2 linked regions of the Mus musculus genome follow. Each later gene encodes a partner of the first gene's protein in a complex. Links are inferred from orthologs where the notes say so. Each region holds a gene or a part of one and is shown in the gene's direction. Other genes may lie near its edges. The genes, in order: Ormdl3 and Sptssa.

Region 1 (3,758 bases):
TTCCAGGGCAGGCTTTTTTCCCTCCTGCAGGAGGAAGAGGCCCTCAGGAGATCTGTAGGGGATATGATTGGGGTAAAGGCACTGATTGTTATAGCCTGGGCAATTGATTGCTGGTCACCTCTTGGTGACTTGTCCTCCCTGGCTATGTCAGCAGATGGTGTGTATGACAGCCTGGTGTTAGTCCAGCCCAGTGACAGGAAATGACTAGTGTCACGTTCACATGGACTTTCTCCAGCTTCTGGGCTTGAGACTCCCAACAGTGGACAGTGGTGTGGAGTTCTCAGGGAGTGAAAAGCCTGCCTCTCTGGGGCTTGGGGTGTGAGGGGCAGGGAAAGTGGTGTGACTTGTCTCACCTGTGTTGCTCTTTTGCAGAGCGGCAGTCAAGAGGGGTGGCAGGATGAATGTGGGCACAGCACACAGTGAGGTGAACCCCAACACACGGGTGATGAACAGTCGCGGCATCTGGCTCTCCTACGTGCTGGCCATCGGACTCCTGCATGTCGTGCTGCTGAGCATTCCCTTTGTGAGCGTCCCTGTCGTCTGGACCCTCACCAACCTTATCCACAACCTGGTAAGATCCTGCTTACCACCAGCCACCCCCCCACCCCCCCCCCACCCCCCGTGCGGGCTGTTCTAGGCCAGAGCTGAGAGATAGGAGGAGCTTCTAATGGGACAGACAGCAGGTCCTGACAACATCTGTCACCAGAGCCCAGGCCCAACTCTTACCTGGCTCCCCCTTGTGGGCTTTAGAATCAAATTTGCACATCGTCCATGTCTCCCTAGTTGGGTGGCTGGTGTGTTTGAAGGACAGCAAACTGGGAGCTGAGCCCATGCTGAGGCTGCCCCCAGGTCCCAGGAATCTGTGCAGAGACATTCTTTTCCCATATTAGGATCTCATAATCCTCTGTGCTCCCTAAAACCTGCTGCTTTGTACCCCACTTTTGAGCAGGCTGGGGTCTAGTCCTTCCTCCTTGGTTTGCTCCTTTTAGCTAACATGTAGAGACCCCAGTTGGGCTGGAAAGGCTGCCTTGCTGTGTCCGTTCCTTCCTTATTTCCCCCCTTGTTCTCCCACCAAGCTCTGGTGCGCTCTCCTGTGTTAAGGCTGCCTTCCTGAGTTACTGCAGCAGAGCAGGTGGCAGTCCACCCAGAGCTGCTGCTGTCTGATAAGTGGGGGAGCCAGGCTGGGAGCCATCTCGTATGTTCTGACAAAGGCCCCTCTTTTCAGGGCATGTACATCTTTCTGCACACCGTGAAAGGGACGCCCTTCGAGACTCCAGACCAAGGCAAAGCAAGGTTGCTGACCCACTGGGAGCAGATGGACTACGGGGTCCAGTTCACAGCCTCTAGGAAGTTCTTAACCATCACGCCTATAGTGCTGTGAGTACTCTGGCTATGGGAGAATAAGCAGAGGTAAACGGGTGGGCTCAGCTGGCCCTAAACCCTCCCAGCTTTGGCCCTTGCTGTATGGATGAGCAGAGGGAGGGAAGAGACATATTCTTGGGTCTCACACGGGGCCTTTGGCCTCCCTGGCCCTGTCTTTCCTCACTGGAGTAAGCTGGGGGGGAAGGTAGGTCAGGAGGGCCTTGCTAGCTAGAGAGTTGTCACTCCACTTCTTATCTGGGAACCCATATTTCCTCCTTCCCTCCCTCCCTCCCTCCCCTCCAGGTACTTCCTCACCAGCTTCTACACCAAGTATGACCAAGTCCATTTCATACTCAACACTGTGTCCTTGATGACTGTGCTCATTCCCAAGCTCCCCCAGCTCCACGGAGTCCGGATCTTTGGAATCAATAAGTACTGAGGTTGTAGCCCCTTCCCCAGCCGGGTTGGCAGGGGAAGGGTGGAAGGCCTTTGCTGTGATGCTGAAGACAGGAGCCTCTGGACACTGCCAGAGATGGGGGTGTGCCCTGGGCCTGGCTTCCCCCTCGCTTCCCCAGTAGCCGACTTGGAGTAGCTTGTAGTGGGGTTAGGGTGGGGCCCTTGGGCTCTAACCCATTCTGAAGTTTTTGATCTTTTTCCTTTTGCCTTTTGAATAGAGATGCCATGGGGGTGGTCAGGAAAGAGGCTGGGCTCTCTGGCTGACTGTGGGCCTGAGAAATTGGGACAGGAAGCCAGGAAAAGGCCCTGTTGGCTTGTTTACCCTCAGGCAGCCATAGCACTTTAGCCCCCAAAAAGGGGGGCAGAGGGACGGTACAGCTTCTGCATTGGTTGCCCTCATTCCTTCAGTGTGTGAAGCGAGACTCGCTGTTCTGTATGTATTAGAACCCTGCGCCGTGCTGCCTCTGCCGCCAGGCAGGGAGCAGGCGGGCTTTGTGGGCTTCCTGGCAACCCACGATGGGTAGGCTGTGGGGCAGGGGAGATTAGGAAAGGAAGATGGGTTGATGGGACACCTAGAGGTGGGGACAGGATGCTGCCACCTTGGTCCTGGGGAGAGGGGAGTTCTGAGCAAGGGTTGGGTGGGGATAGTAAGTTGGGTCTTACTTAGAATGGACAAGATAACTGCAGCCGATATGGATCAGTGTAAAAAAAAAAGAGGTCTGGGAAGGAGAAGCCAGACTCCGCCTCCTCTGAGATGTGGGCTAGGAGGAGAGCTGGCGTGGAGGGTTAATTTACCCACAGAACGATGCTGATAGGAAGGGAGGCCCCTGTGGGTTTGAACTCCTGGGTTGGAATGAGGATATGCACAGGCTGGAAGGGCCTGTGAGTCCTCAGAAGCGGGTTCACTTCGACACTTCCCTTAGTGGTGTGTGTGGGCGCGCGCGGAAGCTTTCTGAGAGGCTCTTCCTTAAGCGTTCAATTCGTATTCTTGTGTAGATTGTGCTGGGGCAGTGCCTCTTGTGTGGCTTGCATGTGAATGGTCAGGAGGCCACCTCCACATGTGGTCAGTGGCCTCCACAGTGCTACAGGATCTCTGCCCAAACCAGGCAGTAGTAGGGGCAGCTGCAGGCACTGTCCTCAGCCCAAAGAGAGGCAGGTCATGGAGCCTGAGGCTAGGCCGAGAGGAGCTGTCTCTCCACTCGCTGGGTCGACTGGGGCATGTTCCTTTGGAAACGCGTGGCTACCCAAGCCCTCTCCCAGGGAGGGGCTGGAGGGAGGTCACTCACCTGTTTGTCCCCCTCCCCCTCATTCTGAACCCAGTGTATCATAGGGAACTTTCACCTTCTGGTCTTTCTAAGCAAAGTGTGAATAGGATTTTTACTCCCTTTGTACAGTATTCTGAAAAAATGCAAATAAAGAGCAACATGTTCTGTTTACCATGTCTGGCCTCTGCTTCCTGGCGGGTGGGCCCTGGGAGGAAAGCTGGCGGCAGTGGGAGCAACGGCAGCTCCTGCCTAGGCAGTAGTGGGGACTCTGGGGCGGCTGCCTTTTTCCAGGTCCAGGAGCCAAAGGCGATGTGAGGAAGATGGTGAGGACCCTGGTAAGTCAGAGTGGAGTCCTGCTGTCCTCGGTTGGCTCTGAGCATCCGGCTTTATAGGTCTGGCTGGGGGAATCTGGAATGGGGCGTGGTGGCCGGGAAGGCCAGTCTAGACCTTTACAAGTGGAGTGGGGTGGGGGTTACCTCTGGTTCTCCGGTTTCCTACTGGCACTGTGAATCTATCCTCTTTTCTCTCTCACCTTGGTCATTTCCAGCCAGTTCCTGTTTTGGAGAGGGTTGGCCTTTGTGCTTCCTCCTGCTTTGAGGATTAGGAGGAGAGGAGGGTTCATTGTGGCTTTTGCTAGCACAGCGAGGAGAGGGAGGACACTCCCTTTATCTCCCG
Region 2 (3,906 bases), on another chromosome or scaffold:
GTGTCCTCCCTACTGTGGGCAGTGCCATTGCTAGGCAAGTGGGGTCTGGGCCGTTTAAGAAAGCAAGTTGAGCAAGCCAGAAAGAGCATGCTCCTAAGCAGTATTCCTCTGTGGTTTCTGCTTCAATCTCCTGCCTGGAGTTCCTGGCTTGGCTTCCCTCCGTGATGTTCTGTAACCTACAAGACGAAATAAAATAAAATAAAATGACTAGGCACCTTGTGAAAGCAGATCTCAAGTCTATTGTTGTTTGTAAGGTCTTTGCTCGTAAGGAGCATAAGGAATTTAAGTTAATACCTGTCAACCTGGAAAGGTTTTAAAGCTTAAAGCAGCAGGTTTGAAACTTTTAGACATGTGAGTTGCAGGCTACTTAATTATGTCATTTCACAAGCACACAGTGCATGGGCTTTAGAGGAGTGGAATACAGCCGGTACTGCTGCAGGTCATAGGAGTGAATCTTTAGGAGACAGATCACATGCTGACCTCAAGCTGTCTTTAGAACCCACTAGATCAAGTGCACTTCTCTTGATTGTGACCTACATGGTTGTTTTCTAAGTGTAGTCATAGAAATATTGGCAACTGTCTATGGCCAATTCTTTTGTCTTTAGGTTAGGGAATACTAGTGCGTGTGTGTGTGTGTGTGTTGTGTGTGTGTGTACTCGCGCGCGCATCCTAGATAGGTCTGTTTTCACGCATGTGCTCGGAGGAAGGGAAGAGCTGATGAACATATTACTTCTACAGTTTTCAACATCTTCTTGGCTGGGTGTCATTTGGCATCCACATTCTCTTTGACCCCCGCATTCCCTCTTGCACAAGGCACTGTTTATTTGCATGCCCGACTCTTTAGTAGCATTCTCACCCAGCCCTATCATCTCTTGGCCCAGAAGGGATTCATGAGGTAGGAGAGAGATTACATACACTGGTTTCTAAAGGAATCCTTCTGGGCTGGTCTGAAGGATCCGGCCTCTTAAGGGCACCATCTCGCATGGACACCAGTGGGGACTGAAGCCGGTCTTGCAACCGCCATGCGTGCGCGTGGAGATGCAGAACTAGCACTTAAACCCAGACCGTTTCCCAGGGCTGGGGAGCTCGCTCCGGGCGAGGCGCGGGGCGGGACAGGAGCACACGAAGTGGCCGCTTGGCCAATAAGCGCAAGCCAGGAGGAGCCGGCGGTGGCCGCTCGGGTGCGCGCGGGGTTGGGCGTACACGGTGACGCGCAGGCTCGGCAGGACCAATGGGCGCAGGGTGGTGGCGGGCGGGCCCCAAGGCCTGGGGCTTTAGGAGGTGAGCGGGCCGCGGGCCCGCCTGACGCTGCTACACCGCGGGAGGCGCATGGCGGGCATGGCGCTGGCGCGAGCATGGAAGCAGATGTCCTGGTTCTACTACCAGTACCTGCTGGTCACTGCGCTCTACATGCTGGAGCCCTGGGAGCGAACCGTGTTCAGTATCCTGTGTGTCCTGGCCTGGCTGGGGCGTGGAGGGGTGCGCGCGCCGGGTTGGAAGGGGGTGGGGGGGTGTCTTGGGGTCAAGGGAGGTGGAACCGCGGAGATCCGGGTCTTGTACGCAATTCCCCTGCCCAAGGTGGAGGCATCCTGATTTCTGCAAGCAGTCGGGAGGGCGACGTCTCCCCTGGTGCTTCCTTGTCCCGCTTCGGCCGCGCCTGCTTTTGATCCTTCAGTATTCTTTGAGGCAGGGTTGCTGCAAATCGCTCCGGGCTTGGGCGTCTTTAACCCTTAGCTATTCCTGATTTGGAGCGATAGAACTCTAACCAGTTCACCAGGTTGTGAGTACGTGGTCTTGACACTCCCACACAGTTTTGGAAAGCAGTTTGTAAGTTACTGAAAGGCCTTTTGGGCTTCAAAATGGCAGTTTTAAAAGTGTGTTATATTTATGACTTCTTTGCATCATAGGTACAAGCTGTGCCCAGAAAAGACTTTGCTGGGGTTTCAAACTGTGCTTTGTTGTTTAGTTTATCACCGGTTAAGAATTGTTGAGTGATGACTTTGCTGAGCACTTTGTGTGTATGTTATCTTGCCTAATTTTAACAGCTCCAGCGAATAGCTCAAGGTTGTGAAGCCTGATGTTTGTTTTCGCCCAATGTCTATGCCGCTATCCTCTGATTTCCGTGTCGACGAAATACTAGCAATTCATTCTTTTAACGCTCCACTTCTCCTTTCCTTAATATAAAAAGAATATACCACATCACATGCTTATTTCATCCGCTCAGCTTCTTGTGGTTTAGCTTTGTTAGGAACAACTTCACAAACGCGTTCCTAGGACTGAGGTAGAGCTTCTTTGCAAGCTTTTTCAAGGGTGCTGGTGTGGAAATAGCATGAGGTTATTTGGAGCTGACTCTTGAAAAATTTTAGCGTCTTGCAAGACTATTACTGTGAGCAATTATTTCCTAACCTAAAGTTTAATAACCAGAATGTATATTTGGGGCTCCGGATTAAGAAAGCCTGATTTTCCGAATCGTTTATTTGTAGCTTCAGTTTGCTCTTTGGATTTTGTAGGTCAGATAACATCTATATTTAAATTTATGCCTAATTGGAACTTTTCAATAGTAGCAGGTAATCTTTTGATTAATTCATTAATTAATTCAAAACACGGTTTCTCTGTGTACCCCTGGATGTCCTGGAACTCATTCTGTAGACCAGGCTGGGTAGCAGTTAATCTTGACTGATAATTATCTTACTACAATTAATGTTGACAAAGCCCCATTAAATAATAATAATGAAAGCCAGCTGTGATGGTTCATGACTGATTACCATGCTCAGAGAGCTGATTCAAGAGGAATGCTGGGAGTTCAAGGCTGCCTGAGGTACATAATACATAGCTACTACCAGGCAAGCCAGGGTTACATAGCAAAACTCAAAGGAAAAGGAAGCCAGGCAGGCAGGCAAAGAAACAGTGTTGGGGTGAAGTGAAACTCTTTAGGTTAGGGTAACAGTAGAACTCAGTTTAGACCTGTAAGCTTTGAAACATTTGTTGGCATGTGGATAAATGCTACAGTGGCAACAGTGTTAAGATTTCTCTGGCTATATTGTAATAGAAATACTGACCCGGGGCCAGATGGCAGTGGCTCACATCTCTAAACCCAGCACTCTGGCAGCAGAAGCACACCGATCTCTGAGTTTGAGGACAGCTTGGTCTACAGAAAGAGTTCCAGGACAACCAAGGCTACACAGAGAAACCCTGTTTCCAAGGGGGGGGGGGGAATTTTTGTTTGAAAAAGTGCCTTTTTCTGTTCTTCTGTTCAAATAGTTGTGGGCATGGCTAGGTGTGGTGGTGCATGCTTGCCTGTAATTCTAGTACTTGGGGAGGTAGCTTCAGGAGCATCAGCAGTTAAAGGCTAGCTTCAGCTACATGTAGGTTTGAGGGCAGCGTTGGCTTCATGAAACCCTGTTCCTCAGAAAACACAGAACCAAACCAAGCCACCCCCACCAAAGGTGCTGATAGAATTACTGTTTCCTTTTGGAGACAGGGCTTGGTGCTGTGCCAGATGTCTGTTATCTGAATGAAAACATTACCCAGGTTAGTTATTATGCCGTTGTTTGCTGTGTTAGAGGTTCTTTGTGTCCCCGGGAAATGTACAGTTATGAGATTGAGGAAGAGGAGAGAGAGTGAGGCGGGGAATGGCAAGACCTAGTAGCCCAGGGAAAGATCTCTGATGGTCTTAATAACTCTCTTAGCTTCCTGGGAGATTGTCTCCTCAGCTCCCAGTTCCTAAGCTTTGGTTTGTTTTGCACTACCTTTGAATTGAGAATGTTAGAATACAGGGCTGGTAAGATGGCTCAGGGGTTAAGAGCACTGACTGCTCTCTCCCAGGGGTCCTGAGTTCAATTCCCAGCAACCACATGGTGGCTCACAACCAACTGTAATGGGATCTGGTGCCCTCTTCTGGTGTGT

The links.
Region 2: the proteins of Ormdl3 (region 1) and Sptssa are in contact, whole or in part, in a cryo-EM structure (PDB 7CQI), measured with the Homo sapiens proteins. The link is inferred for Mus musculus from reciprocal best matches to the Homo sapiens genes ORMDL3 and SPTSSA. Residues at the interface, in NP_001307730.1 of Homo sapiens: Val36, Leu38, Ser39, Ile40, Pro41, Phe42, Ser44; in NP_612145.2 of Homo sapiens: Ile44, Tyr50, Thr51, Val54, Phe55.

Annotation. Positions count from the first base shown.
Region 1 is NC_000077.6:98,580,755-98,584,512, reverse strand, and holds the end of Ormdl3 (ORM1-like protein 3), read left to right. Parts: intron 1-372; 5' UTR 373-397; coding exon 398-571; intron 572-1,225; coding exon 1,226-1,377; intron 1,378-1,665; coding exon 1,666-1,801; 3' UTR 1,802-3,219; downstream 3,220-3,758. UniProt on the Homo sapiens protein: Plays an essential role in the homeostatic regulation of sphingolipid de novo biosynthesis by modulating the activity of the serine palmitoyltransferase (SPT) in response to ceramide levels.
Region 2 is NC_000078.6:54,653,907-54,657,812, reverse strand, and holds the start of Sptssa (serine palmitoyltransferase small subunit A), read left to right. Parts: upstream 1-1,240; 5' UTR 1,241-1,329; coding exon 1,330-1,441; intron 1,442-3,906. UniProt on the Homo sapiens protein: Component of the serine palmitoyltransferase multisubunit enzyme (SPT) that catalyzes the initial and rate-limiting step in sphingolipid biosynthesis by condensing L-serine and activated acyl-CoA (most commonly palmitoyl-CoA) to form long-chain bases.